Styela clava: one gene and its partner. The protein of the gene in region 1 interacts with the protein of each later gene in a pairwise test. Links are inferred from orthologs where the notes say so. Each region holds a gene or a part of one and is shown on either strand. Other genes may lie near its edges. The genes, in order: peroxisomal membrane protein PEX16-like and peroxisomal biogenesis factor 3-like.

Region 1 (17,404 bases):
ACGGACAGGCAGCGCGGCGCAAGCTATGGGGTGAAATTGGTTTTGGGAGGTTGAAACTAAAATTTCATCATCCCAGTTTTTTCTTTTTCTACTTTAGCCTTTCCAACATGACAAAACAGCGTCAGATATTTTTCAGCTATAGTGCATTATAAAATATTCATAACGTTGGCGAGTCGATGTGCCTTCCGAATTCCGCCGTGGGATAGTCTGAAAATATTTGTTTCCTATGGGGAACAATGGACCGGGGTTCAGTGGGACATGTCCTACAGGGCACAATTCGACAGTGTTTGATACAATGGGTGCTTAGAGACCTAGAGATGCGGTATATTTTATGTAATATTAGGGTTTCTTTCGACCCATGGCCCAATATGGAATATATTCGAGAATCAATAATATTTCCAGATTTAGATCCGAGGAAGGAAATAATCAAATTTGTTTGCAAAATTTTTTGTCAAAATATCTGAACCTTCAGTTAAACATTGATTTTAAAAATATTATATCTTCAAATTTGAAGTCTCCCTGTTCTTTAGACGATTATGCTGAATAATTGCTTATTTTTAAGGCCACACTTCGTTGAATTTCGACAGACTGACCCATTGTGCCCCAGGGTCTGTCCGAATGTGCCCCACAAGTGGGGTACAGTGGGACTTTTGACAGACGTTTTTCGAAGCATTTTGGTAGTAAGATGTATGTCGCAGGGAAATTTCTTAGTCGCTGAATAAAAACTACATTTACCCCTCTATGCATTAGTTCCGCAAACTTAAGTGAATATGCAGAATTAACGGCTCAAAATATGCAAAAGAAAAAAGTGTCCCAACCTTCCCCACTTTCCCCTAAATGCTATACAACTCTTGAGTCTGCGTTTTGCAAAGCGATGTCTTCTCCTCGAGCATCGATATCGCAGAGCGAGCGACTGGTGAGTTGTCTGCCTCTCGTTGCTCGGTAGTCGAGTTGTCTTAACCTCGAGCATCGATGACGTCACGTCGCAGAGCGTTTGCTCGACTAGTGAGTTGACGGCCTGTCGGGCGACTGTCGTAGGCGAGTTTAGACTACTGCAACCATAGACTGAGCTCACATTCATAAATATTTAGGTGTTACTGTGAAGTATAAAGGTTTTAATATATTTAAAGGTGCTCATTCAAAACATTTAATACCAATAAAGTTCAAAAAATTAAACGAACACAGTCCTATAAGTCAGGTAGTTTCAATATCATAAAAACGCAATAACCTTCACGGGGAAGACTTCACCTAAGTCTTCGGTTGAGGGCGAAGCGCACTTTAGTTGATACTCCCGTAGTGGGTGTACCAGGTTGGGGTTAGGCCATAATTTTTTCCGATTTCCCTTGATTTGGTTATATTACGAGTTCGGGGACTGTTTGTGTTAACCAAGTGAATATCCCCCCTTCCCATAAGTTTCAGTCCCTTTACACAATTTGGTGTAAAGTAGACGAACAAAATTAGTTACCTCCATATTGGTGCACACACTTCTGGCGCTCCTTTTAGTTCTATTTATATGTATAGCTCGGGTACTACGGAGTCAGGCCACGAAATGATATTGAGACCGCCACGCAAAATACTTGAAGCGATATGATATGGCCAAATACAGGTAAATGGGGGAGCGATTCCGATAAGCCATGTTGGTTAATGTTCTGTGGTCGTTGCTGTGGTCGTTTTGACTGATACGTTGGCAATATTATCAAACCACGATTTAACGCAAATTGATAAAACAGCCAAAATTAGCACCACGGTGGGCTGGGATATTTTAGCGTTTGGTACATAATTTGAAATTAATCAAGATCAGGAGAATATGCAAGAAAAATCGACGCAAATAATTGATTTCTGTCAAATCCCATAGGAAATGCATTACGCGCCTTGTCAAAGTTGGAAGTCTATTGTCAAAACGAGAGAGGCTTCAAATTGTCCCGCGGAAATGAGAGAGAAGTTCCGTGTCCGATAACAAAACGATCCATTTCGGCCCAACAAAATGGCGACATCCGGTGGCGATTTTGTACATACAGGCATTTTCCGTCGGTTCGCTTTTAGTGCGTTTCCCTTGTTTTACGGATAAGTTAACTCTTACTGGTGCCATTGTACTATATGCTACCGTATCCGGTACCGGTATATTACATCTTTTAAATGTACGGTATGAGTGCAAGAATGGTTATCAGGTAATACCCAAAAATTTTATTTTGATCTATCGGAGACGGAAAAATTGGAAAAATAAGTTTATCATTTCTGCTGTTTTCGAGTTCACCAAATGATTATAAAGCACATCAGGGTTCTGTGATTACTACAGCACTAAGAATTTTTTTTGCTATTGGTCTAGAACTGGGTGGTCCAAGGTTCTGCCTCGGGGGCCACAAAATCATTTTTGCATTGTTCGCGGGTCGCAATAGTGCCAAGAATAGGTAAACAGTGCAATACAGAACAAACACTTTTATTGTGCAAACACATTGATCATTACTTGTCATTTATCAGGCTAAAACATGCGAAGACCACCAAGAAACTCTCTAAAACTTGCAAAAAGTATTTCTACCGTACCGGTACCGTACGGTACCGGTACTTGGCGGCGGTGTGGCGCATCTTGCTAAGCATTAGGAATACGCTCGCCACCGCATCTCTGATTACCCTTCGTGGTAGTCTATTGCAGGTTCGATCCCATGCGGGGATTATCATGTGCAAGAGGGTTTCTGGACTCCTCGCCGCCGTATGGGGGTTCACGTAACCGCTGGTCGGTTACGGCTTCCTCCACCATCAAGTCCATGCTTCCTCCCAAAACAAATACCTGGATACTAATCCCATACCCTACCTGGATTGGTAACCGGACGAGAGGCCGGGGTTCGCCATAATATAATCAAGCCGTCTTATCGACTTTCCTCTCCCCGGGATAAATATGTAAATCGTATCTTATCCTACTGTTCTAGGGGTACCGGTACTGTATATCTACATTTAGTTTGAGATTTCAAACTCTTTATAATGGAGAAAGTGCTTTCGAACATCGATGGGATTCTCAGAGCAAAATCGCTTTTCTTTAGAAAATGTTCATTGCTGCAAGATTCTAAAAGGCTGTTTTAGATTATATCTTTTGTCACCAACACAACTTGCCGACATATCAAGCAATCATTGTGGTATTTTCCCTCATATATCAGTATATCCAGTTAAAAATCAGTTTGAATTGGTCTGCTTTTTTTCAAACTCATGTTTACAAATAACCTCAATTTGACTTTTTCCAAATGTGAGGAGTGTAATTACATAGGCATCATCATGTCATGACAGACTGAGTTTTTCGTAACAGTGTAACTCCCTCTGCTCTTGTCAATTACTGTATTATGATCTGCGTATAAGACTATGATTCAATACTGCAATATCTGAATATGGTACTAAGCTTTGTATTTCTGTATTTCAACCAATAGTAGTATAGTTCTGTAGTTTATAAATTATTCCTGCACATCAGTATAAGATAATAATTTATTGTCTATCCACGATATATACCATACCGCAGTACAGCACACTATCCAAATTCCAAGAATTTCCCTCCATTTGGTTCAATAAAACAATCACTCAACGTGTCTCACAAACGAGGGGCGTCTGGACCACGTCAGATGCATCATATCGCGCCATGCTTGATTCAATAATAATCTTAATTAATCGCGGCCGTCACATGACCAAAATTGCTGTTTTTTGCTAAAAACTCTCGAATGCAACGGTAAAAATTTTTTTCCTTTGGTAAATCGGTTGATTTTTTCCCAAGAAATTCAACGATGACGATATTAGATTGCGCTTTTTTGTAGTATTTTGGGCCACTTCATTTTACTGTATTATCACCGATATTGAGGGACAACAATGTCCAGATGTCTCCCAAAGGAGGGGTGTCTGATCATCTGTAAAATGGGTTTCTCTGAAACGGGACAATGTCACCCGATTTGTATAGTGTGCCGTACTGTACCGGTACTGACCATACCTATCAAACATTCTGACATTGCATATAGTTATAGTGAGCGGGTTATATTCTGTAATAATATCTGTATACAGGTATACCAACTATGCTAACGTTATATCTTGCATGATGTTTAGATAAATATGAATTAAAAACAATTTTTAAATTAGTCCATATATTTTGTGTCAAACGTCTGCTTGAAAAGTTGAGATGCAGACAAGGCGGAAACGCTCAACTAGAGGGGCAACAAAGTCTGCCAAGCCCACTCCGAAACCCACCAAAGGAACTAAACGAAAACTACAAAATGGAAAAGCAAATGGTGATGCAACTCCTTTGCCAAAAAGATTAAGGCATGCTGGTACTTCGGAAGAAAAACCTGAAATTGATGCAATTTCTTCATCAGCAATTGATGAAGAAATTAAAAATAAAGAAACAAAATCTAAAGAAATTCAAACTGAAGTTTGTGGAAGTGATTTGGGATCATCTACCCAAGACAATGTTACTCCTAAATCAAAACGGAGAAGAAGAAAGTCTTCCACAAGGGGAAGGAAAAAAGCAAAGCGGAAACCCTCAATTTTGGGGACAATATTTTCTCCCGTTTATAAATTTTTTGGTCAGGCTGTAGATGAGGAAAGTGACAAGGATACAAGTTCCAGTTCAACCGAAGAACTAGAGGAACAAGTACCTGAGGTTTCCTCGACAACGGATGAGTTACCGAGCGTGGAAGAAGAACAAGTCGATTCTACATCCAAAAATGATGACAGTGGTATGTTGTCTGCATTAGAGGAGCCAACGTCAATTCCACCAACTGACATACAAGTTGATAATTCGAGTGAAGAGTCACAAGATTCTACGGTTGATCTATCCTATCTACAGCCTGCTGCTGTAACTTCTACAGCAAATTATGACCCAGATTGGGAAGTGTTTGATCCGTTCTATTTCATCAAGCATTTACCTCCATTGACTGACGAGCAAAAGTGCAGGCAACCTGCTTTGCCACTCAAAACAAGGAGTTCTCCTGAGCTGTCATTAGTGTTAGATTTGGATGAAACGTTAGTGCATTGCAGCCTTACGGAACTACATGATGCTGATTTGACCTTCTCTGTTCTATTTCAAGGCGTCATGTATCAAGTGTATGTTCGTACTCGGCCGGATTTCAATGAATTTCTCGAAAGAATGTCCAAGTTTTATGAGATTATATTGTTTACTGCATCGAAAAAAGTGTACGCCAACAAGCTGCTGAATATGCTAGATGGCGAAAAGAAGCTGGTGAAACACAGATTATTTAGAGAGCATTGTGTCTGTGTGCAGGGCAACTACATAAAGGATCTGAATATCTTAGGTCGAGATCTCAGCAAAACTGTTATCGTTGACAACTCACCACAAGCATTTGCTTACCAGTTATCAAATGGCATTCCTATATTAAGCTGGTTTTCGGACAAGGCTGATTGTGAACTGCTTAAATTAGCACCATTCCTTGAATCATTAGCTACAACTGGTGGAGATGTGCGGCCAAAAGTGAAGCAGAAATTTCGGCTTCATGAACTGTTGCCTCCTTAACATGAGCATGTATGTGTTTTGTCTGTTGATATGCTACAGACAGTTTTTTTGAGAGTGTACAAATTGCTCACTAATTCTAGTACCAAGATGGCCTGAGATTTAAAATAAACATTGACATTTTTTATATAATATAAAAGCATTCAGTTTTATATTGGAAATATTTTATGTACCAAACACACGGTTTTGTGTGAACTGATAAGGCTGTGATATATATTATTATGGACTTTCGCTGGAGCGACATTATGGTGAATAAGCGAGATTTTTTTTATATTCTTTTAAAGATTCTTTTACGTTGATTTTTATTAGTGAAAGAAATTCTACAAATTAGTTTTTTATTCATATTTTTATGTTTAATGAAACTATAATATGATGGCGTGTTCTTACACTATTGCCAATCTTTCCCTTTTAGCAGAGAAACGTTAGCAATATATTTTTAATATTATTTACCATATTATAATCGTCCACCGCACGTTCTTTAGTAATTCTCACTCGTTGCTTTAATTTGAACTTTTTCTTTATATTATTGCTGCCAAATTATGCTCCGGAGAGTTTTGTTGAGACTATGTATGTATATTTTACAAACAGCTGCACTGATGCCAGTTCTTATCCCAATTTTCTCACATTGTCAGATCTTACCAAACTAATGTGTACATAAAACCAAATTGGTAATTCGAACATAAAATTATCCTATTTATCACATTCTTGATTTGACTATAAAGTGGCATTCTATATGATAGCAAGCTGAAAAATTTTTTCAACATGCATGAAAGGACAGTATTCTGCCACCGCTGGGTATAAAATTTCATCATACATATCAAACTGTTGCATGTTTATCATTTTCTGTATTTAGTATGTCATAATTTTACCAGCAGATACTAGAAATAACAGACATGCGACATTACCAATAAATGATTGATATGGTAAATAAATAGTGTGCAGAAGTGCATAAAGGGAAGTATTTTTCCAATCATAAATAAATTGGTATTTGGATTGCATGTTTGAATTTTCCTCTTTTGAACTAGTACTTTCTATACCTGTCTATTTTTAATCATAGCTTTAAAAAATAGACAAAAAAAATGGTTTTCAGTATTCTGTGTGGCTGGAATTTAAGTTTTGTACATCATGTTGTTAAGGATAGTATTGCTTACCCAATGTTTTCGTATGAATTATTTTTTGCCATTTTTGTAAAATTATTGGCATCCGATTCCAATCGTCTACTGAATGCAACAAAATATCCGCACAAATTGGCTGTTTGATTCAATTTAGTCCGCTTTTGGTAGTTGGTTAATTGGGTTTACTGCCATACTTGATCTGACTTGTTTATCATAACCACTTATTCTGCTCCTTAACATGATTGGACTATCACTAATCAACTACAACCATGTTTTGAGTGTTCTCATAATTCAGTATATTTTGCATATTTTTTTTCATAAGTTTTTACAAGAAATGCTGTATAAAATGCTGCCTTGTGTTATATTAAGTAAGGTGTCAATAATAAATGCATTATTCAAACCTGTAATTAACAATTATACTACAAAACTAATTTTTTGTTTCTTATTTTTATATTCCATCATGTATAATGCAGAAATTGTTTCTGCCAATAGAAAAATTTGCATTACAGAGCAATGACGTTGGTTCGGTAATGCATTGGACATTTAATGATGTTTGTAGGATCATTTGATACTTGAACTAAACCCTGTCTTCTGTTTTGTTGTGTTGTGGACTTGCTTCTACAGATGATTTATTATTTGTTCATTTGAATTTATTGGAAATACAGTGGAAACTCTACTTATGAAATTAATTCGTTCTGGAAGCCATTTCGTAAACAGAAAATTTCCTAAGTAGGAATGCATTTTAACATATAAATGCCCTCATCCGTTCTAAGCCGCCCCAAAACTCGGACATAATATTTGTATAAATTATAAATACTAGTTAAAACATGTAACAATTACACGTTATAAAAATAAACACTAAAACACGATTTTTTCGCTAACAACTGAAACTGAGTGAGATGCATTTTACGTACTCACAGGAAACAAACGGGCTAATGGAATGGCAGGAAGTTGCTAAACATCAGCCAGTGGCACAGCAGCTCAGGTGTGCCACTTTCAAACTTTATGGCAAGCAGGACGTTTTTAAGATTTTCGGCCTTTCGTATATAGAAGCATCTTTCGTTATTCGGAGCAGTATTTCTACGAAAAGACGTTACAAAACTTTAAAATTTCATATTCATGGTTTACCGTGAGTGGAGGTTCTACTGTATATCTGCTACAAAATCAAGATATGTCAGATTTTGTATTCCTAATTTTGTTTGTTTATGTATCAGTTAGCAATTGAGAATATTAAAAGAGCAACATCACATATTCTTTATGAATATTTCATGTATATATCTCTGTCTCTCTTATCTCTGCCATAAAACATACTATAATGATTGTAAAATAGGAAAATCATTTTACTAACATTTCTGACAGAGTATAAGACGAGAAGGGCATAAATCGGATAAAAAACTGAAGTTGTTGACATCATTGTCTTGAGAAGGTTGATAAATTCTCACACGATCAAAACTCTAGCGAACCCCAAATTGTTTGGCTTGAATTTCGTTGCAAAAACGAAAGAGAGTTTACAGAAGAATCAGTAATTTGCTCATCTGATTTTCTGAAGTGAATTGGAGTGTTTTGATACACATTAATTATGAATTTGTTGATAAAACTTAATTTTTTGATTTGGCTAGATACTACCACCCGTGTATGTCAATTTTGTTTTTAGACTCTGTATATTATGCCAGGTTGATGTTTCAAACCAGGGGTCTCAATGTTAATTATTGACTTATATCATGACAATATGTGTTTGTATCTTTCACTGAAGTGTAAAAGATAATTTAAAAAACTTAGCTATTTAAGCTATTCTTTTTATATCAAATTTCTGTGTTTCGTTACCACTCGATTGTTAAATAGTTTAATTTCAAGCAGTTTGACATTTTCTTTTGATTTTTTGAAATGTGATTTCTATTTAGGCTTTAAAAGGTCCAAAACGATCATTTCTGTTAGTTTTAAAACATGTCATAATCTGTCATTTGTTTTAGAATGCTCATCAATTCGTAATTCCTAATTTTATTCTGTTCTGTTCATCTATGTTGCAAAATTATTGTGCACCAGTGTTCAGGGTTACAATTTCATGCATTTAATTGATGTTCATAACAATACTACTAGCATTTGGTTGTAAATTTGTTGGTATTAATGTTATGTTGTACTGGTTTATAAAAAGCTTTTTGTACATATATTGCTGAAAATTAATACCATTGTAATTCTTTCTGTAGATTTCTATCTATGTTTCTAGTATCTAGTTGTAATTTGAATTACAAAGAGCAGGGTACCACGACCAGTGCTCTTAATAACATATGACATTTTGACAATTTATGACATGAAACAGTTTTGAATACTCTTCACTCAAAAGGTATGAATGAGTTAGTTATAAATAGTCATATATCGTGTTTTCCCAAAAATAAGGCCTATCCTGCTTTTTAAAAATGATTTTATTATAAGCTCTCCCATAAAATGAGACCTAGTTGACAGCGCAAAATTTTTTTGACCTAGTCGATGGCAAGAAATCTCTTCTACACGTTTCAAATGATTAATAATCTATGTCCAGCAGTTATTCGAAATAAAAACGTGTTATTTATAAGTGGATGGATATCGGTTTGTATTTATGAAAATCTCGTAATTGTCTACTTTGTTATTTGGTTTTTGATAAATGAAAATAAAAAAAAAACCTCAAAATAAGCCCTAGTGTTATCTTTCGAAAGAAAATTGAAATAAGACCCAGTCTTAATTTTAGGGTAACATTCATTTTTAGTTGAAAAATGAATTTCTGGCTGGAGACTGACATGGGAGTTAAATGTACTCATTGAAAATTGATCAGTCTCATAAGAATCACACAACTTGTATTTTACATCATAATGTAACTTTTGTTTGCTTAAATTTTCTTATTTGTAGCTTATGTTGACTGGAATTTTAGAGTAGTGTATACCTAACTACTCCTCATTTCCCTCTTGCTATTGTGTTCTTGGATTTGTATGTCTTTATTCTTAATTTGATATTTTATTCCAGTATGACGGCTCCCGCTGAATCTTCTGTTGTAGAATTGATACGAAAAGGTTTGGGGTTTGTCAATCGTCCCTTCCAGGAGGCCAAAGAAAATTATGTCAAGTATGTCACTGAAAATCCAGAAATGATAACTCAAGTATGTATATATACCAAAAATTTTCCATTAAACTGGAGATACCAGTAGCGTATCTATTTTGGGAATTCCAGATACTGATGATAAAAAAAAAATATTTAATTCCATGTCATGCTCACTGGAGTAAGAATAAGATGTATTGAATTTAAATAATATGCGAATAGATATTGGTATGTTAAAGTCATTTCAGATTGGAAATGAATTATCACAGGGTTCTTGAACACTGTGATATGCTATATTATCAAAATCGATATTAAAATTTCAATCTTGCCGCAAGATTTTAGAATTCTGTTAATTTCGTTAAAATGTAATATCTACCGGTATGTTTTTTTGCTCCAGGGCATATATGAATATGCAAACTCATTCCTTTAATATTGAGAATATAAAGCAATGCTTTATATATAAATAATAAATAAATAATGCCTGAGTGCTTAAATTATCAGTAGTCAATGACTTTTGAAAATTTAATACTGAACTATTAATTATTTCACCCTTAGTGGGACTTTCAAAAAATATTGTAATCATTTTCTTGATGTTGAACCTTTTTAATTCACAAAATTACTATCACCAGGGGTTAGAATTGTTACAGCAAGCTTTCAATTTACCGTAAATAATAAGACTTTATTATGAATTCATTCTGTGAATAACAGTTTTTCTCCAATTTGTTTTAATGAAAGCTGTTAAGTCTTGATTTATAATTTCACATTGTACATTGTTGTTGCTTCAAACTACACATGACTCATTTATTAGTCATTGGCTTTTCCAAGTTCTGCTTTTTGTGTTTGTAAATTCAAATCAACTTGTTTGAATTTTTGACATTCACCAACTTTAATACAAGCATGTTCGGTTTCGGTTCAGTCTCACTTTGTTTATTCAAAGCATGAAATTGAATCAAATATTTCAGCTCAGTTCAGAAAGTGTATGTCCAATAAGCCGACTTGTCCACTTTCTTCCATGAAGATAATCATGATATCCATCCTGAAAAGATTTTGGTTTGTCTTATGCTGGCGATTTTACATGACCATAACTTCCAACATAGGCTGAGTTAATGGTTTACGGTAGTCCAGTGGTGGGCCAAATTTTTGACTAGGGCCATTCCAAGAAATCAACTGTGATGTCACAGTTACTATTCCAATTCTTTATAATACTGTCATGGTGGCTGACATTGTTGAACCGAAGATGTGAAAAAAACATTACCTAATTTTATTTTAACGAGACATAATTTAGATATTTTAAATAAAGTTTAAAAATAAATCTGAATTTTGTATGTAGTAAAAAATTTTCACAACTTTCTTCAAGAACAGAAGACCGCACAAAATTCTTCAGTGGGTTGCATATGCCCAGCGGGCCGTAGTTACTCATTCTGTTTCCCTTACTGACAGCTTCATTGAAGAACTTTTGTGGACTGACAGCACTGGCATTGGCTATTTACTTGTTTTAATGATCATTGGATTTTTCAAGTATTGATTCCAATTACTGCTATCTATAAATTCTGTGTTTGAGTGTATACTGACCTTTCATGTTATTTTTAGATTGAAAAGACTGCAAGGTCTCTTTCGTATGCACTTGAATTTATTCCAAGAGATTATGATAACTCCATATTCATAACTGAATTATGTAAGTATTTTTTATTACTTAACCCTTATAAGGATGATTGATGTTTTGTATCAACTATTTTGAGTGGTAGCTTAGTGAGTAGTTAGATTTTGAACAATTACTGTTTTGAGGCCGTGGATCGTTTCATTTTGGAAATCATGGATATTTGTGAAGCGATACTTATAAATGACACACATTTCAAATGCATTTCAAATTGCAGTATTCGAGTGGGTCAAGTCTATCCATATTTTTTATCACCCCTTTTCTCTTGCCTCTTCTTGCCTGTCCCTATTTTCTGATACTATTAATAGCCTACATATAAAAGACTACATCCGTGCTTGGATTATTTTTTATGAACATAGTTATAAATAATGCAATCCTACGATTACCTATCATTATGTTATAAATTTGTCTTCACTTTTACATACTAGATAAGGCACTCCTGGTCCTGTAGTATGTGTGCCAGGTTAGGCTTAGGCCATAATTTTATTCCGATTTTCCTTATTTTTCGTTCTATTACGAGTTCGGGGACTGTCTGTGTTAGCCAAGTGAATATACCCCCTACCCATAGGTTACAGTCCCTTTACACAACTTGATGTAAAATAGGCAAACAAAATTAGTTACCTCCATGTTTGGTACACCCACTACTGGAGCGCCCTGGATAATTATATAATATATGTATATATTTCTGTAATTTGATATTTATTGCAACATATTTGGAATTTAACGATTCAACATGATTGTTAAAAAGTATGATAAGCAAATTTTCAATAGCAATCAAGGAAAATTCTCTCAAGAATTACCAAACGATCAGTGTTCCCTCTAAGGTGTGCGCGCGCACACAGCTTTCAGAGGAAGCGCACACGCATAGATTTACTGCACACAGACGTATTTCAATGTAATGTAACATTGTGCTCGGTTGGCAGATTGAGAAAGTTTGTTGTTAGCCCATCATTACCCGGTTAGAACGCCAAAATTTCTTCATTGGTTTTTGCACAAATATTAGTCATTTCCAAAAAAGTGCGCACACACCAAAATTTCTGCGCACACATACTACAAAAAATTAGAGGGAACATTGCATACGATTCATACATACATTATTTTGATTCAACATTATCCAGAAAAATTCAGTCATCTTATTTTTGTTGTAGTAGTAGTACAATTGATTATGATAAGTAATCTTAGAAAATTTAGAGTTTCAAGTTGTATAATTCAATTGCATTGGTACGAAATATTTTCTTCTTTTGTTCTGTAAAGTCAGATAGTAGTTGATCTAACAAATTGTACACTGTATCTAGGTCTGCATTTGCCATCTTACACACTGGCCAATCTGAACCAAACATAACTCTGTCTGCTCCAAATTTGTCCATGACATGTTGAACATGGTTTTTGAAATCTTCAGGCTTCCAATTTTGCAAGTCGCCTTCAGTCACCATACCTGTAAATAATGAAATTTTATTTTTATTTTCATGAATATGTTTGGTAATATCGTAGTATGGATACCAGGTAGGGTTCGTTTGGCCATAATTTTATTCCGATATTCTGAGTTCGGGGACTGTTTGTGTTAGCCAAGTGAATATACCCCCTACCCATAGACATTCCGTCCCTTTACACAACTTAATGTAAAGTAGGCCAACAAAATTAGTTACCTCAAGATTGACGCATAAATCTGGAACGCCATATGGTTAGCCATTAGCTTTGTTCAAGGAATGTAATTATGTTAGCAAATATCCCTTTAAATGTTTATTGCATTGTCATGGTACCCTAACTAGTTAGTCCATTTTCTTATTCCACATTTCTAGCTGTGAATCCGAGAAACATATTTATGAAAATACTAATAATTTTTCTAAAAGAAAACCTTCAGTTTATATTATCACAGATGACCTTGACCTTAGCTGTTCAAAGTTACATCATCATATTACATTAGTATAAACCAACTTATTTCGGCTTAATAATATATCTTTTGCCTTGGGCAATATTTTCAAATTAGAAGATGACTCACAAATTTGAAAGTTTTGCTTGAGTGATTCTGTGTATATCAGGATTACTAGTTAGATCTGATACTCAAAAGACTAATTTTCTTTTACATCCAGAATTATTTTGGGTAAAAGTAAAAATGCACATAAAATATACATGGAAGGTGTAGGATTTTCATTAAATCCAACAAGAAGCATGTTTTGACAGAAATCAATCTTTTTAAAATACTTAGGAAATAACTGTTATTATTTTTTCGTAACTTTTGCAACTTGCTGCTTCTTAGGATTCTCTATATTTTCCTATGTATTCGTTAAATATAATGTCATGCATATATTAATAATTACAAGTACAACTTACTAGTAAACACATTCAAGAAAATAGGGGACAATGGGGTTCACATTTTTAAATCACCTAAGCCAGGCCTGCACAACTCAAATAACCACAAAGGCTGCAAGCATAAATCTGAAGGCCCGGCCGGCCGCAAACTTTGCCACATACATATTTCACAAGATGAACTACAAATCAAAATAATATGGTGAAACAGTTAAATTTAATGAAACACTTTCATTACTGGGGAGCTTAAAAATATGAAGAATCTTATTTACTTGAGTAAAAACAAGGTACAGTATTTTTGCACATGTGATGGCACATATGTATTTAGTGGTTCATCTACCTTGAAAACCCACCGATCATTTTCAATATTTCTTTTTTATTAGAATTAGGTAGCCTATTGTGTGTTGCAGTATAAACTGACTGCAAAAAAATATTTTACTTTAAAATATTTTACTTTTTGTAAAATTGTCCCAAATATCTGTATGACAATTTATTCAGTTGTATCTACCATTATTAGATATTTCCACTGTAGGCTAGACAAACAATCCATTAAGTAGCAATAGATTCCTCTGTTGTACTTTTTTGACTGTTAAATTACATTTTTCTGCAAAATCTGCTCCAATTTATTTGAAATTTTACAGTAAATAGCAATATCTTTTGTGCGAGAATTTCTGCACCATTCGTAAATGAAGGAATTGTTTTTTAAGTTCTAAATTTGAATCAAAAAAGAAACTTCAGTTTCTTAAACTGCTAGTAAAAAATAATGGGGTTATTAATAGGTTGCTAATATGCACTAATGGGTGTGAGATTGTATACCGATATTGTTTTAAGCGTGATTCAGTCTGAATACTGAGATATCTAAATCAGGGTTTCCCAAACTGGGGGGCGAGATGTCAAGAGACGAGTTTTAGGGGTCGTGAAAGGCACACCAGTTTCACACAAAGTTCGATATTTATTGAAACTGGTGCAAAACATAAATGTCACGATTTCGAATATGCTCGGGGTAGCGGCGCGCTTGCATAACAATGCTGGCTTTGATTGTTAGACCCGAAAAGTGGCGTGTTTCCAAATAACTCACGGGCCGCACAGAAGCTTGCATAACAATGCCGGCTTCGATTGTTAGACCCGAAAAGTGGCGTGTTACCAAATAACTCGCGGGCCGCACAGAAGTATCTAGCGGGCCGCATGTGGCGCGCGGGCCATATGTTGTGCAGGCCTGACCCAAGCCTTTATTAATTAAGAATAATAATCAAGATATATGCAATGTCAATTTTACTTTGATAATGTTGAATAAGTATGTTTATATCCTTCTTGTAATCATTAGTTTGTCGATATCCCTTATTTTTTAAATTCAATTTCAAGTCTTTTAAATAAACTAAGTTTGCTTTCACTCAAATTGTTGTGAAGTCTGAGGGAAAAATATGAAGCGTGTTGCAGACTTGTGTTTCTAGATTCTGAATATTTGTGAATATGGCATAAAATATTTTAAACAAAATCCAACTTATTAGACTGGTTCAACTTTACCTGACAATTTGCAATGAACATTATTATGTTCTGCAAGGGCCGACATTCCCTCATACCAAGCCTTTGAAGCTCCTGTTTTTGCATTAGGTTTTGCTAGGTGATTGATATTGAATTTTGTAGCTGGATTTTTTCGTACAAGACTGAGAGCATCTTGGAAATTTTCTTCCTTGATCTGTTATTTGGAATAATTGTGTATTTTTCATGTAGTATATCAATTACAAATTTTCTTGATACTTGCAGAAGTGAAATAATGGAAGGCTCTGTGTATTCAGGTCACCGCATACCTACATGCAAATTATATTGTCTTCTTACCAGTAAATCGTAAACAAGATCATATTTCTTTATCACTTTCATTCCTTCCGATGTTCGTTCTTGTCCCAAATATCCTTCTACTTCATCAGGAATTATGTTGCGAACTCCGACAAATTTTCGATCTTTCGTAAATTCAGCCAGTTCTTTGTCAAGTAAATCTGGATTGTTGATATGGGCATAGCCAACAATACCTAAAGGAAATATCAGGCAAACTTACAAAAGTGTGTACCAATATTAACCTTCTGTTGATTATGATAGGGCTGTCAACTGGCGGACTGTCCGAGTAATTTACTTACTGCATCTGATTCTTTATTTTGGATTATTGTCCTAATTAACTTTAGATATTTGAATGTTTCCATTAATTAAATTATTGTTATTTATAGTTTTGAAGGATTTTTTTATCGTTTGTTCCAACTTGCATTTCATAACTGTCAATATTTTAGAAGAATTTGACCATAGAAGAACAATTTGAACAGCACTTATCAAATAACCACTAGGATCTGCTAGGATACTACAATGCGAGTTAAATATGCAGAATTTTTTGGCGGTTGCTCAGTTTTTATGTTAACTCTCTGATCTCAAAAGTTAGAGGCACTAAGGCATAGTTATGCACACTGTAAAATTTAATTTTTGAAAAGACCAGACGTCAGTAAATTTGAAGTTTTGTATACCACTCTTTGGTTGGTAAAGCTAGTTGAGTAGCCCTGGTTTTTAGCATTTGTAGATTCTTCTTTGTTATATACATCACATTTGAATGTCGTTTAATAACATGCCAGTATTAGAAGCAGAACTTAGAATTAAGTTTTTATTACCTATCACACTATCTTTTTCTCTAAACTTTTCAATGATCCATCTGGTCTCTTGTACATTGTTTTCTACCTGTACATAGATGCCATGCTTTATTGGTGTCTTCTTCCTAAAAAAAATTTAGGAAATAGTTATTTTAAAATATATTTTGTCAAAAACACAAGTAACAATAACAATAAGTAACAATAGTTTTGTATTTGGCTTGATTCATTTTCTTAAATTTTTCTTTTCTGTCCGATCAACTCTTAAAAGCGTGAACTGAAGCTATTTTATTTTTACTTTAACCATATAAATTGCCGATGTTATGACTTTATCACATTCACATTTTTAATGAAGGTACTGATATTTGTTCGTCCCTTGTATTGCTACATGTACAAACTGGAACTTTGAAAGCAAACTAAACGTTGAATACACTTACAAATCCTCTTCATAATCAGAGACATAGAAATTTCTGTAAATTTCTTTCATTGAAGGAGTAGGAAAATTGTATTTCCATTTTTCTAGTTCCCATACATGAAAATGTGTGTCAATGACATTTATTGGTTCATTTGCATCTTCCATGTCTTTGGTCTTTTATTATTTAAAAAAAAAAAAATTCTCATAAAACAATTTTTTACTAAGCATTAAAATCCTTTATTTCAGGGAAAATTCAGAACAATGATAATATTATTATTAATCTAAATAGTCTTGCTTCTATATAATGAATATACAATCAGATACACAGGACGAATGTGGTCGAAATAGCTTTTCTATGCTAATTTTCCAGTGCTAATATATTTTGCCCACATACTTGAACTGCACTGACTCACATGTTTAAATTAATTCCATATCACTCTATTTTTCCATCGACTGAGTAAGCTATTCTGAACAAGAAATATAGCCTTCTGAAAAAGATACAAGCTAGATTTTCTATCAATATTTAGCCTTATAAATTTCCTATCCCAGTTGACAACCAATTTTTATAAAGCCTCAGGGTCTCATTGGTCAAATTCTAGTTTTTCAACTTTGTTTCTTCTAAACTACAACCTCCAAAACATTACTTTTGTCAACTTATTTTTATGTACTAGTAGTGCTACTTTGTATCACATATAAGTTTGCTATGAATTAATTTGTCAGTATCAA
Region 2 (16,126 bases), on another chromosome or scaffold:
TTTATCATTAAAACAAAAAGACAATCAACATAGATAGAACTTAAGGTAGGGTACCTCTCAATCTGCAGATCTGTCAAATTAACAAAACGGTTGCTCTACTATCTGACTGTGCTCAATACTTCTGAACAAATCCACGTTTGATAGCAACGAATAGAGAACATCCTAATATGCTGATATGATGATTCGATTATCTACATACATAAAGCGGAGCTGCCCGTATAATTTTATTAACGGCGTTAAAAGAGTCAATTTACAATTGTACATTGATTACCTCAAAACAGATACGAGCGAAATTTAGGTTCTCTGGCACCACCATATGGGTAGAGTATAACCGTAAATATATACTACTACGGATAACAACAGACAGTGAATCTACAACTTCACTTGTTGGTCCATCAATCGATCAATCAATCCACATCTTAATCTTATCGAAGATATTAAAAGCATTGATAAAACGTCTCGATATATTTATTTATGATAAGCTTTGTAATGAAAAAATTTTGCCACCAACTGAAAAAATAGAAAAATGGTCAAAAGAATTGAGCAGGAACTTAGATAATTGGTTGACATTGTATGAAAAAGTTTTTTATTGCTCTATTGTATCCAGACTTCGTTCATTTCATGTCAAATTTGCCTTGCGAGCAGTGCCCACTTATGACCTGCTATATAGAATAAGTAAAACACAAAGTCCAAAATGTACATTTTGTAATATGCATGTTGAAACTGTGTTACTTTTATTGGACACGTTTAGTGGACATAACGATCGTTTCAAAATTTTGTTGTTATTGTTATTTGTCTCCATCATTTTTATAAAATCGCTTTTATCCTCGAATACTGAACCAATTGCTTTGAAATTTTCAGTGGTTAAAGATAAAATTTTTCTCCAGAAGGCTATTACTTTTTTTCGCTATGACGTCATCAAAATTATTGCCATTGGGTGGCGCTACGTGTCCATATATTTGAGCATAGCTCTCTTGTTTTATCTCTGTGAATTTGTGCAGCAATTTTGGGAAATAGTTAACGCTTGGCCAACCGTTGAGTATGGATTAAACTTCAATTTGACACATAGAGAAATGTTATTGGGTGTAGGGCAAAACCAGGGTATAAACTGTGTTTTATTATGTGCCAGATATTTTATATACAAATGCAAACTGCGTAATGAAAGGCCTCAATTTTGCCAATTTTTATATATAATAAAAAATATTATAAACTGTGAAAAGACTATCGCAACTTAAAATGGTAAACTGTCAATCCATAATAAGAAGTGGAAAACTATTATGTGCTCGTTTTTTTAAAATGCAAATGTATTAGTGCTATTGTGTCTATATAAATGTGTTGTGTTATAATGTGATGTTCACTTGTTGGTTAGATATATTGTAAAGGAATACTTTTATATATGGAAGGAAGATTGGGGGTGGGGCAAAACCAAGGTAAAAACTGCGATTTATTATGCGCGAGACATTTGATTTACAAATGTAAACTTATAGTAATTAAAGGCCTTAATTTTGTCCATTTTTATATACGGGGTGACAAATTTATGGGTACCGTTTTTGGGTCACCCTGTATGATAAAAAATATTATTAATTTTGAAGCAATTACTTCAACTAGAGATGGTAAGTTGTCAGTCTATGTGGAAAGTGGAAAATTGTCTTAATCTCTTTTTTTTCAAGTTCAGTTGTATTTATGTGTTATTGTGTTCATGAAAAGTGATTGTTTACCGACGACGTTGTTCATGTTGTTGGGACGACTCTTTTATTGCGAAAGAATCATTTTTCTTCATAACTAATAGAAATGGCTAGAAGGCTCTTACTTCTATTTTTCAATTTCCTATGAGATCCTATATTTCACCTCAAATTTTGTTATTTTATTATAATTTCAGGGATCAATTTCACATCTCCTTATTTATTTCCGCAACAATGACCAATCAGCACTAAGTTGACAATGGCGTAACAATTACAATTTGTACAGTCGCTCAGACACTTCTTTCATTGAAGCAGATATCAAGCATGGTTGTAAACATTAATTCATTTTTGCGTGTTATGATTCAGTTTTCAGCTGTGTTTAGAAAAATTTGATGGAAATCAAATAGCTTAACTGTCATTTTTTTTTTTAAAGAGCTTCAGTTCATTTTCAATAGCCAAAAATTAGAGACCAACCAACCACGGCCAAGAATGGGTGTATTTAAAACAGATGTATGAACGTGCATGACGAAGGCACCCGTTGGTGGCGAATGGTCGGGTTCGGCACAGGGGTCACCAAACTACGCCCCGCGGGCCAGATCCGGCCCTTGGCGTCCTTTCATCTGGTCCGCGATAACACGAAAAATGGCGAAAATTTTTCTACGGCAGGGGATGATTCGCCGAGCATCGACTTCCTCGTTAATTTTGTAACATTGGCCAATCAGCGAGATGTTAAAAGTGACGTAACAATAGGCATTTTTGCATCCGCTCAGACATTTTTGTCACTCAGAGTTAGATTTTCAGCCGTGGTTGTAAACAATACTTCGTTTTCGCAATTTAAAATGCTAGCTTATTTGTTAGGTTTTGGTTGTGTTTCGGAAATTTAGGTATGAATCAAATAAGTCAATCATCATTTGGCCTTCTTAGGAGTTGTAGTTTAATTGCAGTAACCAGTAATCAAAAATTAGTCTGGAAATAGCTGTGATAAAATAGGCAACGCAACGATCACACAACGTTTTCTGCGCAGGATGCACTCGTGACGCGTGCTTTCGGCGAAATTGTTGCTGTGTACGTTTCTTTTGCTAAAATGAACGTCGAACGTGCATTTTGCGCTAATAGTAGGCTACTGTAATCGCTCAGTATTGCCCCAATTTCACAAGTCACATTAATTAACTTTTGTAGGCCCTACTGCTTTCATGCGGATATATTCATGACCGCAATTGATTTGCTAACAGCTAACCTCAGGATAGTTGTCTGGTACGGTATAGCCCAGTGGTTGCCAACCGCCGGTCCGCGGTTGGTTTATCACGCAATTTCTCTTCGTCGTCATATTGCTGTTTGATAGGTGCGGTATGGCCGGGCGACGTCTTGGCGCCGAGTAATCACACTTTTCGCTTTTTAGGACAGGATAGGATTTACATATTTATCCCGGGGGAGAGGAAAGCCGATAAGACGGCTTATCCATTTGGCGAACCACGGCCTCTCGTCCGGTTACCATTCCAAGTCGGGTATGGGATTGGTTTTACTGTATCGTTTTGTTTTCAGAAGCATGGACTTGGTGGTGGAGGAAGCCGTAACCGACCAGCGGTTACGTGAACCACCCAACGACGGCGAGGAGTCCAGCAATCCTCTCGCACATAACCATCCCTGCATGGGATTCGAACCTGCGAACCCACGCAGAGTAATTAGAGGTGCGGTGGCGAGCGTATTCCTAACGCTTAGCCCGTTGAGCCACTCCGCCGCGCCTTTTCTCGCAAGATTCAGAAACCTGAAAATCAGCATGCGTGCTTTTTCCGTTCTGCATGCTTTTCTTGATTAATATTACCATCCAAATAAAAATATTTCTTTGTTTAAACCATAAAAACTTTCAAGAACATTATAATATACCAGGGCTTCACTATATGACACCCAGCGAGATATGAACTTGTTGCGACCCTGCAGCAGAGCCATTATATAACGGCTCTGCCTGCAGGTGGTCACGAGACGCGCAACAAAAGCGGGGGCCGCTAAGATATTTTTTGGGTGATGCACAGCAGGATTTTGAGCCTGATGGTGTCAAGTTAGCAACGACTTTATCATTGTAATATAAATTAATTTTGTTTGGGTGAACGATCAACTGCAGAGGGATTGATATGGTGAAACCTCTACTTTACAGTCCAGATTTATAAAAGAATCATTATCACAATTAATTTTTGAGCTCTCTTGATATCGAATACCCATCGCTGAGTAATCGAGCAATCAAACTGTTGTCCGCATTTTCAACCAGTTGCTTTTACCTTTAAAAAAGAAGCAAATAAATTGACTGTGGGCCGCTGCAGAGCTATGTGTTGCAAAACCTTTTTTTTTGATGCCTCGCTTGCAATCCTGTATTGGAAATGAAACAGTAGCAAAATTCTCACTGGAGTTAATTGTGTTTGTAGCCTACATCATAGGTTCTCAAAGTGCTCCGTACGGAGCCCCAGGGCTCCGCGAGAGAAACCCAGGGGCTCCGCGAGCTATTCGATTACTCTTCGAAATACTGACTCAAAATTTTGTAACTGTTGAAAGAAGCAATAACAGCGTTGATAAAATCTGACAACAATACAGCCTCGAAATATGGTAAAGAGGCTGAATTAAAAATGACATTATTTATGAGCAGGAGCGCAGCCAGGATTCTTAAGAGGGAGGTGGTTCAAAATTGGAATCGGAAATTTCCGCGCAACATTCTTCGCCATTAAAAAAACGGATAACGAGATTTCTGTTGCTTAAATATACAATCCATGACCGATGCGAGCATTCAACGTGTCTCTTCGTTATAATGTAATTGTGATCATCGTTACTCAAGTTTGATTCGAGATTAGTATTAGTATTACTTAAATGAAAGAATACTATTCTAAAATAACATAAAATATGTAATAAACTGCCAACAATAAATAAAGTGGAGTCGTATTTTCGCGATCTTGGGATTTGTCAAACTTGATTTGTTCTTTCGCACCTGAGATTATTTTTAAGCAGGATATCGCCGTTTAAAAAATCACAATGTCTGGGCAAAATACGAACAATTAGAATTTATTTTATTGCATTCGGCTCCGTCGGTAGTTTCAGAATGAAAAAAGGTACATCGTGGACTGTGTTTCGATTTCGCAGTCACTACGACGAAAACCTAACATAACACCAAATTTTGTGATTTACAATGTCTATAAAAGCGTTTTCAATCTGAGGTGAGTCTGCTGAAGCCAAACGTGTGATCTTCCATTTAAAGTTTCAGTTTTAATATTTTAGAATGCCGTTTTTTAATCAAGAAATTTGAGTTGCGGATTTATCTCTTTATTAATTATAATTTTTAACATTTCGTCGCAGATGACTATTATATGGTAACATGTTTTTCACATTGAACTCATAATTTCCCACGAGAACAAAAAAGGAATTAACGTCGTCATTGTGTAACAATACATGTATATGCCGAGGGAAATTTTTGATTTAAGGAGAATAAACACCGGCGTAAAGATGTTCAAAACACGCCATGCTGACGAAAAAAATCGGCGATTGTAACAAAATAAAATCGCGCACGTTATTAGCGGCCTGTTAAGTCTTCCAAAAATGTCAAAAGAGAAAAGATTCGACCCCTAATTTATTAATATGTTCGTCAAGTGTCAAATTTACAGCTTTAGTATGAAATTCAGATTCATTTATGGCTTGTGTTAATCCTATTAAAAAAGGTTCAGCATTTTAAATAAGTAAAGTACTTTTAACTTGCCCAGGAATATTAATCTGAAAGTAACAATTTTAACATTTATTTTGGGGCTCCGCGAATAATATTCAACTTTTCAAGGGCTCCGCAACACCAAAAGTTTGAGAACCCCTGGCCTACATGATTTGGCATTTAAATGTTCTTTATGTGAGATGTGTGCCTTGTTTACGCATAATGGGTGCCCAGCACTGCATTTTATTACGCAATACATATGTTATTATTTATATTCCACCCATTTCGATTTTTGACCGACACATTATATGATAGGTTTTCCTCATGTGAAATGTTTTTAAGTGTACCTTTTTTTTCTAAAATCATAGTGATTGCACGACTTTACGCAAATATATGTAATTATTTTCTGTTCTAGGCCTACTCATTTAAATTTTTGCCGGTCCGCGACGAGTACATTTCATTTAATTTTACCGGTCCGCCAGGGTAGAAGGTTGGGAACCACTGGTACAGCCTATTTGTTTTGTTATGATGTTCTTGGTCCATATTCTGCGATATAGAATTAAATATCCAATACTTCAGAAATGTAGAATTTATATTGTTGAATACCATTTCCCCACTTTTGTGAATTTATTGTATTGCATTGACAAAAATACCGTATTTGTCCGGCTCGTTTCAACACAGTTTGAGCGTAAATATGGTTTGAGCAATGACATTAAACAACATGATAGGCAACTCTGACGTCACTCCATAAGACTACAGGCAAAACATTGTATTTCATGATACGCTCCAATGCACATATTTCTCGTCGCCTTTCGCGTCCGTTTTCCGCTCGCTTTTGCTACTCGGCGTCTTTTTTACGTGTAGTACCTGCCTTTTTGCGCCTGTAACGAAACAAAATAATCTCTATATCTAAGAAGTTTTGCTTACTTGGAAAGCTGGAATAACAGGCAAGCTGTAAAGAGCAATTCTGGACATCATAGACTTTTTTTTTTATCAGAAAAGATTACAAACGCGATAGCGGAAAGATTTGTGTGGAACATTTTGCAGATAATGACAAAGTTCAAAGTTAGTAATTTTAATGTTTGCGCTTAATCATTGAAATTTCATTTAAAGAGGGTGTCATACAAAACTGTGCTGCGATACAATTCCATAACACAAAGTTTGCACCTATCGAACTTGCTTTTGTAGGTGAATTTATTAGACATATTACATATTCAGTTAATCGTAGGTAACATTGCTGGTACATAATGCATCGTAGATAGGTTTGTTTAAATTTAGGAATTTAGCTCATAGCCCACTAATTAATATTATCTTCTATGCAGGAGGTTGCAGGGCTGAAATCAACTTGCAGCCTTACCGATCACCTGACGATGCTCATTTAGTTTGGCTCGAGCAAGTCTTCTTGAAATGCTTGTGTGAATGGAAACTACCTATATTTTTTGCCTTCCTCCGATTTTAGACAAATTTATTCTGAGGGATTTCGCATATAATTCTCACTGATTGTTGGCTGTTTATAATTCCTATTGATTGTGAATTCTGATTATAACAATGAGTTGAAACCTTTTTCTTGTCAATACTCCAAGCTGAGGTAATAAACATGACAATACATTTATGTCATCTGGAAGCAAAATATGCACGCAAATTAATAGTTTGGCACATTGAGATAATACATCATGACAGAAAATACAAGTTAAAGATATGTATGACCATCACATGGTAATTAAAATTAAAAAAAATTAATAGGGGCTGTGGAGTATGGAAAGTTCAAGACAAAGAAAAGAACAAATGTTCATAGCTCATGAACTCTCAATTTTGCCTCCATTGCTGTGTGAAGGCCAATATATTTCGAGTGGCTGAATTGGTTTACCTCTATGATAGCAACGATTTTGTATTTAATATAGCGAGATTATTTCAATTTAATTGAAGTGATATAATTTCCCAAAGCAATGCTTGAATCGTCTGGAATAGATCAGTGGTGTCAAACTCATGGGTTTTCGAGAGCCGCATTGCATTTTGAAAATTGTAAAAAGAGCCGCAAACAGTTTTTGATAATGTATACTTAAAAGATATTTTTAAGATAGTTTTAGTTTGTGACATATATTGTGATGCAACTAAACAGTTGGATTAAGTTTTATTATTTTCTTCAATTTCAAATGCAATTACATATTAATATTTGCATTCGACTATTATTGCAACATTTGCAAGTTACAGTATTTATTATAAAAAATCGTAAAATTCTATGTACAACCATCAAAATCATTTTTGAACAAGCTTTGAATAAGGAAAGAATAATACATACACTAAAAATAACTTAATCTAAATATGTGAACCTAAAATTAACAAAAATACCACAGTATAAACTCGATGTTTTAATAATTACATTCGTCCTGGCGTTTGGCATCTTTTTTGTGTCACCAGCATACTAAGGCCAGTCTGAAATGATTTTATAGTACCAACTCTAACTAACGAGGCCACATGATCATGGGTTTATCTGGATCTTTACGAATGTTTAATTAATTCCAGTAATGCAAAAAAGTTACTTTTATCATTTCATGTATAGATCAGTAAAAAAACAAATGACAGATTTTTTCGACAAGACATTTCGCACTACATTGCGTGGCATAGGATTGCTTGAATTATTATGGATATTGATTTTTAGTAACTAAGTCGTTGTATAATTATATTAATATACAAACACATGGAAATTTTCTGTTCGAAGTTGGTCTTCGAATTTGTCATATTGACTGCTGAGCTTATTGTGTTTTTTGATTGTATTGATGGAAATATGACAAATTAAACAATGTGCTTCAGAATTTTGTGAAGAGCAGAAATGTTACAACTCCCATTTTCTTCGAAAATGCCACCTTCTTCGTGTACTTTGCGTTTAATTTAATTACTCAAGTGTTTTATTCAAGTATTCTTTTGCTAGCTTGATGTGTATTCTTAATTGGGTCAAAATGTGGACAAAAAAAAATTAATATTCCAAAACTACTTTCAGTAAATTGTTTTCTGTGTGAATAATCAATTTCACTTTAGAAGGTTTGAAAAATCTATTACATTTAGATAAAAAAAAAAACTTCCAAAATACTATTACAATTATTGTTAAGCGTTCGAGGGCCGCACTGGAAGTTCTCTGGGGCCGCGAGTTTGAGATCCCTGGTCTAGATTGAAGTTGTTCAAAAAATATATTATAGTATTTTATCATGAATGATGATTATACCCCTTTCGGAATTTCTTCTATAGTACTACCAAAAGTTGATGAACCAAATATAACACAGGTGCAGTGAGGTACCCGTAATCCTTATTTCCAAAGCTGTTTTAAGTATGTCTGGCGTGTTTTGTGCCTTTTTACAAATAAGACCGCTTATGCAATCTTACGCTTTGGAATTTTTAGTTATTTTCCTCAAGCCCTGCAGGATGTGGGGGCCATACACAACTCTACCGGATGGTCAAATGTCTTTGCATGCCTCCATAGGTTGTTTTTCTATTGCAATTTTCTATTTTCAATTGCATTATATTTCTTGGAATCACACTGTCACTGATATGTCGCCAGACTTCTGATATCTCCACGTCTGCTATAGTTGTCCTGTGAATAAATAATAGGAAATTGAGATTAGACGAATAGTTGAAAGTTTTGCTTTATGTCGGCTTAATTTCTTGATTGATATACTTACTATTTCTGCTATTGCCTCTTGTGCTGCAAGAGTCTCACAATGCTTAGACAGGTTTGTCCACAACTTTCACATCTGAAGAAAGAGAGGAGATTTATTAATTTTCGTTAAGAATAAATAAAGCAGTCTATATGATTCAGAATGGAAAAGCTAATAAATCCAATATTTCATGTTTTATTTAAAAAATATTTTACTGAATTTTGGAAAATAAACCAACTAATAAAAGGGTTTAGTCAGAAAATTACAAGCATTCGTGGCTCCAAATACTTGAGAAATCAGACTATACAATATAGACCGGTATGAGTGAAATGTTAGGTGAACTTGTTAACACTTTGATTAAATACGCAAATAAAAGTGAATGCGTAATAGTATGTTACAATGAGCAGCAATCAACAATGAGTATATATCCTCACTGATTAAAAAAATCTAACTGGAGGTGCATGAACTATTTGAAACCATAAGGAGTAAGTAAATATGTAATTTCGGCAAATGGGCAACTACGTACCGTACTGAATTAATAACTTCGTAGTATTTGACAAAGGCTAGCTTTCCCACATGTACTTAACAGTGCGATGCCCGGGTGTGATATACAACAATAGTATTCACCTTACCTTTTACCGATTTCTTTTTACCCCAACTTTCAAAAATATCATTAAAATCGACAACAACTGTCAAAGCAGGCACGAACACCATTCGTGCTACGCCTTGAAAGCAGCACACATCCGCTCGTTTTCGTCTCGTCAAGTATGTGCATTGGAGCGTGCTATCGAATACGATCTTCGGACAAAAATGCCGGAGTTGCGCATCATGTTGTTTAATGTCATTGGTTTGAGTCATACCGTAGTAGTATATATTTACGGTCATACCGATAGTCCGATACCTGACCCTCGGACAAAAAAAATTTGGTGACCCCTGGGTTGAGGTATCGATAGTTGGAAGGTATCACAGACCTTCATTCATGACATTCGCAGGCCACATTGGTCATAAAGTGGTAGCGTGTTGTTTAGAATTCTTAGTCAATACGCCAATATTGGTACGGTACCGTACAGACAGACGTAGATACGATACAGATCCACTCTTGCATACCAGTTTTGAATTACCTTGTCTTCCTATTTCAGTACCGGTATTTTATTTATTTCGTATAAATCTATCCTGCAATAAAACAATATAAGGGAAATATGGATATGCCTGGACGGATTTGCGGCTTCCTTCGCAGACATCGCCGTAAATTCATATTTGCTGGAGTACTCGTTGGAGGAGTTGTAGGAACTGTGAAATATGCACAATATAAAATTAAAGATTGGATGGTGCAAGAAGAAAAGAGATATTTGGAGGAACTAAGAAAACAACAGCATTTTGAAAAAACTCAAGAACATTGTTTTGCCATTGCCCAGGCTGTAGCGAACACGCTAAAAGATAATATACTGCAACAAATTGATACTGAAGCAATTCTAGATTCATTGAAGACTGAAGTTTCTGCAGAGAGAAAACTTGAACTCTGGAATGAACTTAAAGTGGTTGTATTTGCAAAAGTGTCAATTTCCATTTACATCTTGACTCTTTCAATTGTTATAATTCGCTTACAGCTTAATCATCTTGCTGCAAAAGTTTACGCCAGTACTCTTACAGACCAGTCACCACCTATCAATGATGTTATCCAACGATGGTTCTTATCAATTTCTCATGAATTTGTGTTGGGTAATGGACTTGAATGTATTATTAATGAATTTACAAAAATTTCACAAGATTTGACAGAATCTATGCCTCTTCAATGTAGAGTTCGAGGTGCAGATATTGAATCAGTCTTAAAAAGCATTCATAATCAAATTAGGCAACATGGTAGTTTTTCATTCCACGTCAAAAGCTCTGAAAATGATTCAAATAATATACTTGATCTTTTGTTACCTAATGAAGCAAATGTAAATTTTGGGGCCTCTGTTGATCTTGATTTACAAAGACAATTAATCAATGAAATGTGGGATATATTTGACTCTAATGACTGCATGCAAGTCTTTGAAAGTTGCATTTTCAAATCCTTCCAAGAATTTTGCAAAATAATTGATGGTTCTATCATTGATTCCTTGGGTACTCACAGCAAAGCGTTGGTGAGTGATATCACTCCAATCATTCGTACTAACTCAGACTTTCTTCCATTGGCCAAAGTATTGCCAATGCTAAATTCTCATGTACATGCAATTTCACATGAAAATTTTATTCGTAAAGTGTTGACGAATCCCATGCTCACGAAGTTTTCTGCCAATATATATCAGTCTTTTACAGATACTATCAGTTGTTGAATATGTGACCAATATCATAACACTGATGACTAACTACAACATATAAACAAAATTTTTTTTTTGTATTTTTTTCCATGACTCTCTTATTAAAGGTCAGGATGCTCATTATCTGTTTTTAAGTTTAAACAGAGAATTTGAATATAAGAATATCATATGTTTTTTATAGGGTGTTCTGCTTTTTTATGCTATGTAATTACTTTCTCATTGATAGAATTATGAAAAATCATTTAACTAGACAATTTAATACAAGAAAATTATTTTATGAATATAAATTATAGAATGTTTTGATTTTCAAAAAAAAATTTAATTTGTTTCTATTTCAACAGATGACAGTTTGTGCAATAAAAATAGCTAATCATGACAATACTTGAAAAGACAAGTTCACTCCTGTCAGGAATCAGGGTCATAGATTTGTCCAGAGTCTTAGCTGGACCTTTCATGACTATGGTCCTCGGAGACATGGGAGCCGATGTCATCAAAATTGAAAAACCCATAGATGGCGATGATACAAGATCATGGGGGCCACCGTTCTGTGGAAATGAGAGCGCTTACTTTCTTTCAGTCAATAGAAATAAGCGCTCTGTTGTTGTAGACTTGAAACGTAAAGAAGGTGTCAAAATAATCACAGACCTTGTAAAAGATAGTGATGTATTTGTGGAGAATTATGTGCCTGGGAAAATGGACAAAATCGGTCTTGGGTATGATAAGTTGAAGAAAATTAATCCAGGTTTAGTGTATTGTTCAATCAGTGGTTTCGGTCCAGAAGGACCATACGCCCATCGTCCTGGTTATGATGTTATAGCTGCATCTTATGGTGGCCTGAATTATATTACTGGACCAGAGGATGGTGAGCCTTGTAAATCTGGGGTGGCAATGACTGATCTGTGTACTGGTTTATATGGCCAAGGGGCTATTCTTGCTGCTTTAATGAAAAGAAGGGAGACTGGTTTGGGACAAAAAATTGATTGTGATTTATTGTCATCTCAAATTGCTACTTTAGTCAATATCTCATCAAGCTATCTGAATGCTGGAATTGAAGCAAAAAGATGGGGAACGGCTCATGCATCTATTGTACCCTATCAATCTTTTAAAACAAAAGATGGTAAATATGTCACTGTTGGTGCAACAACTAATAAACAGTTCAATGATCTATGTGATAAAATGAAGCTTGAGCATGTTTCGACTGATCCAAGGTTTGCTGATAATGCAAAAAGGGTTAGGAATCGAGAATCCTTGCTTCCTATTTTGAAGAAATCATTTTTAGATAAAGACTGTGAAGATTGGTTGTTTATATTTGAAGACAGTACTTTTCCCTATGGACCAGTCAACAATATGGAACAGGTGTTTTCAGATCCTCATGTGTTACACACAAACAGAGTGTTAGAATTTGACCACCCAACTGCAGGAAAAGGATGCAAAGTCACTGCTCCAGCAGTCAAGTTTAGCAACTATGAATATCCAAAAATTCTGCCTCCACCTACACTAGGACAGCACACAAAAGAAGTATTACGTGATCTCCTGGACATGTCTGAATTTGAGATTGACAAATTAACAAGAAATGGTGTTGTGACCTAAAAAACCTTCCTAGAAAATCGCTATAGGTAAAAAATATCGTGCATTCACTCCAAAAAAGCTACTTTAAATTATTTTATGATGAAAAAAATTTTGACTTCCAACTTCAGCTCCAAACTCCAAGAAAATCAAATTTTGATCCCATTTGTCTATGGAGATATCAGTAAATTCTAATGCTTTAAACTTATTATCGCTGTTAAAAATGGAATTTACGACTCGGGCTCCAGGAGTTTTAAACTACCACTTCATAGCCCTGCTTTTGTCTTCCTATGCCATTGTTATCCGGGCCAAATATACTCGTTAACTTTTTTTCTTCAAATATTGCAATTTTATAATTTTTTCTAATAATTCACTGTGCGATGATATGAAAAAATGCTTGTTTTTCAAAGGAAACTTGTCATTGTGACTTTCAGCTTCATAATCACGCTTTTCCTTTTTAGAAGGACTAGCAAGCGCATGTGCAAATTTTAGTAATTTATTTAATGCTTAATATGCAATTGATTTGTTTTAATTGATGCAATTAATTTCTCTTGCTACCTCCAATGAAAAAAAAATTGAGCATTGGAACTAATATATATTTTTAAATTATATTTGTCGATCATTTTTGGTTCGGCGAGGTCGATCCAGGATAAAATAAATTCGGTGCCAACTGCCAACGTACCTACTTGACCTACTACGTCATACTTTCACGCTTCAAGGACGGGTTGAACGTCAATAATTCGACCAAATATGCGTCCAGGGTTGCCATATTGGCTTTTTTAACGCCAAATTTGCCATTTTTGGCTTTTTTCAAACGCGTTTGGCGTCAGAATTTCCGTTTGGCTTTTTGGCGTTTTTTTTGGCTTTTTTCAAGTCTATTCTAGTGTCTATGAAATAAAATATTTAGTGTGTAACAACTGAACAATAGTCTATTACCTGTACTTAGCTACTTAACATTAGGATTTCCTGGAGCATCGATTCCCTTGTTTGTTACATTGACTCTTAACCATACCCAATAAGAAATAATTGCAGTTTCTGCAGCTGCTCAAACAGATGTTCAAGCAGGATTGTAAACATTGCCTCGTTTTTACAGTTTTGCGTGTTATTTGTCAGTTTTACGTTCTGTTTCCAAAAAATAGTTGTATAACTTAATTTTCATTATGCCTGATATGGTTTATGTGAGCTTCAGTTTAATTCTGCAATTGCAGTAACGATGTGATTAACTACGCTAAAATTACTGAATAAGATATCAGTGAGCGGCAGGGGGTTAGATAATTTTTTAATAAAATTGATGGTTTATAACTTTTGAAAGTGAAAAAATTTTCAATAGTAGAGTACGATATAGAGAGAATTTTTTAAGGTATATCACAAGTTTAAGTAGAAACATGTAGGTATATTACATACTGACAGACTGAAGCGGCACTCTGTATTGTATATATTGAATGGTAAAATAGTGCTGTTCGCTTGATATTTGTTTTACTTTCTGCAGTTGTATAGGAACTTTACTTTCCATTCGTGTGCCTCACTGAATGAACTAATGGCTCTATATCATCATCAGTACATTGCCAAGGGCTTAAAATCTGACAAATCATGGGGCTTTTGTACTTAGTAAAATTGTTGGCTTTTTCTGGCTTTTTTTATGTCTTGATTTGGCTTTTTTTGATCGCTGGGGTCTGGCAACCCTGTATGCGTCTTTACATTTGCCAAGTGTTTAAATAGCTGTTATACTGATATATATAATCAGGCCACGATATAGAGTTCTGCAATAAGTGAGTAATATTTAAGCCAACAAAAATTTACAGTTTAAACATGGTCTCATAGCACGAAAGCTGAGATGAAAATACAAGTGCAATGGAAAAAGTATTCTGGGGAACAGTTATATATATATATAAGAAAATGTTACGGTACCGGTAATTATTTTCAGGGTACCACGTACAAATACATTTGCAAAATTTGTAACCTGTTAACAAGATATAGTCGGGTACAAATACATATTCAAAATTTAAAACTCCGTATTACTACAGACGATTCTTCATAATAACATTATTCCACATGGGCAATATGAAAACCAATGCAGTACATGGGCCTCCTCGTAAGAGGGCTGTTTGAACACAAAGGGAGTATTATGAGCTGCTGCGTCACAATTTTTGCCACTCGCCGAATCGCGCAATACTTTCAAGTGCTACAAAAATACATTCATGTAAAATTATCCAGAACTATGGTGGAATCAACGCTATGAGTAAAGTCTAGTCTGGTGTCACACCAATTTCCACTCTGGTCGACGTCTGCTTTTTCATCTTCACAGATATAATATTTGAAACCAGAATAATGTTGACGGAGTGACGACGTAAATACAAAAGTTTTCTTACATATTTTAAAACACACTTTTCTACAGCACTCGATACGGAAACAGTGACACTCTGATGCAAAGGCCTAACTCTAATAGACATATGTTGGGGCAAACTGCAGGGATTGTGAATACTTGCAGTTTATATTTGGTTTGGGAACTCTTCCACGCCAAAAAATGTGTGAAGATCAACATAATATGTGCTAATGTCCCATAGTGAATCATGGATGATAAATAAATAACTCGTTGCATTCTGGTGCACTCATATAGCTTCAAAAAGTCAGGAAAATTTCATGAATGCGTACTACATGTTCAAAATTTCAAATATGGGTTCGTCAGGTATATGACGACATCAATTCACATATTGAATCAGCCAATGTCATTACAAATTCAGGTAGGTTCGTACGATGCATGATATATTTTGAGTTTATAAACTTATAAAATCTTTAGCTTGAATGATGAATTAAAATGTACGTGCAAGCGTCTTTTCCAATAACTTGTTGATAGGTGGTTCAGTAAGAAAAAATATCACATGACTGTACAGGAGTCTTTTTTCCCCTTCTTGAAAGGATTTGGTGATTGCTGGGAAACCAGAAAATCTTCGTGAAAGTGTTTCTGAAAATAAATATTTTTCACAAATTATCATATATATATGAATTATTTTTGCCTTTTTTACGAGGCTGTTTGTTTGAACTGTGAGCAAGAAAGGGACACGCGCCAAGTGTGGTTTGCGAAATTACGCTTAAATAAACACATTTCATGGCACTTACACTTCGGTAATGACACTTCACACTAATAATTTCGATGAAACTACTAATCTGATGTGTCTCCCCTTTCTGCCGTATTATGAACATACCCGCATTTGAACCAGGCACGCACTAACGTGCAATACGATTACT

What was found.
Region 2: the proteins of peroxisomal membrane protein PEX16-like (region 1) and peroxisomal biogenesis factor 3-like interact in binary tests that used the Homo sapiens proteins (3 or more experiments, as listed by UniProt). The link is inferred for Styela clava from reciprocal best matches to the Homo sapiens genes PEX16 and PEX3.

The regions. Positions count from the first base shown.
Region 1 is NC_135252.1:3,114,169-3,131,572, forward strand, and holds the start of peroxisomal membrane protein PEX16-like, read left to right. Parts: upstream 1-8,811; 5' UTR 8,812-8,950; intron 8,951-9,603; 5' UTR 9,604-9,604; coding exon 9,605-9,736; intron 9,737-11,265; coding exon 11,266-11,350; intron 11,351-12,010; exon of another isoform or gene 12,011-12,519; coding exon of another isoform or gene 12,520-12,767; intron 12,768-15,163; coding exon of another isoform or gene 15,164-15,335; intron 15,336-15,475; coding exon of another isoform or gene 15,476-15,666; intron 15,667-16,287; coding exon of another isoform or gene 16,288-16,391; intron 16,392-16,700; coding exon of another isoform or gene 16,701-16,843; exon of another isoform or gene 16,844-17,404. Other genes in the region: CTD small phosphatase-like protein 2, read left to right, coding at 4,148-5,497; L-fucono-1,5-lactonase-like, read right to left, coding at 12,520-12,767, 15,164-15,335, 15,476-15,666, 16,288-16,391, 16,701-16,843. UniProt on the Homo sapiens protein: Required for peroxisome membrane biogenesis. May play a role in early stages of peroxisome assembly. Can recruit other peroxisomal proteins, such as PEX3 and PMP34, to de novo peroxisomes derived from the endoplasmic reticulum (ER).
Region 2 is NC_135263.1:8,798,747-8,814,872, forward strand, and holds peroxisomal biogenesis factor 3-like, read left to right. Parts: upstream 1-10,112; 5' UTR 10,113-10,210; coding exon 10,211-11,329; 3' UTR 11,330-11,477; downstream 11,478-16,126. Other genes in the region: succinyl-CoA:glutarate CoA-transferase-like, read left to right, coding at 11,687-12,904; guanine nucleotide-binding protein subunit gamma-like, read right to left, coding at 15,756-15,842. UniProt on the Homo sapiens protein: Involved in peroxisome biosynthesis and integrity. Assembles membrane vesicles before the matrix proteins are translocated. As a docking factor for PEX19, is necessary for the import of peroxisomal membrane proteins in the peroxisomes.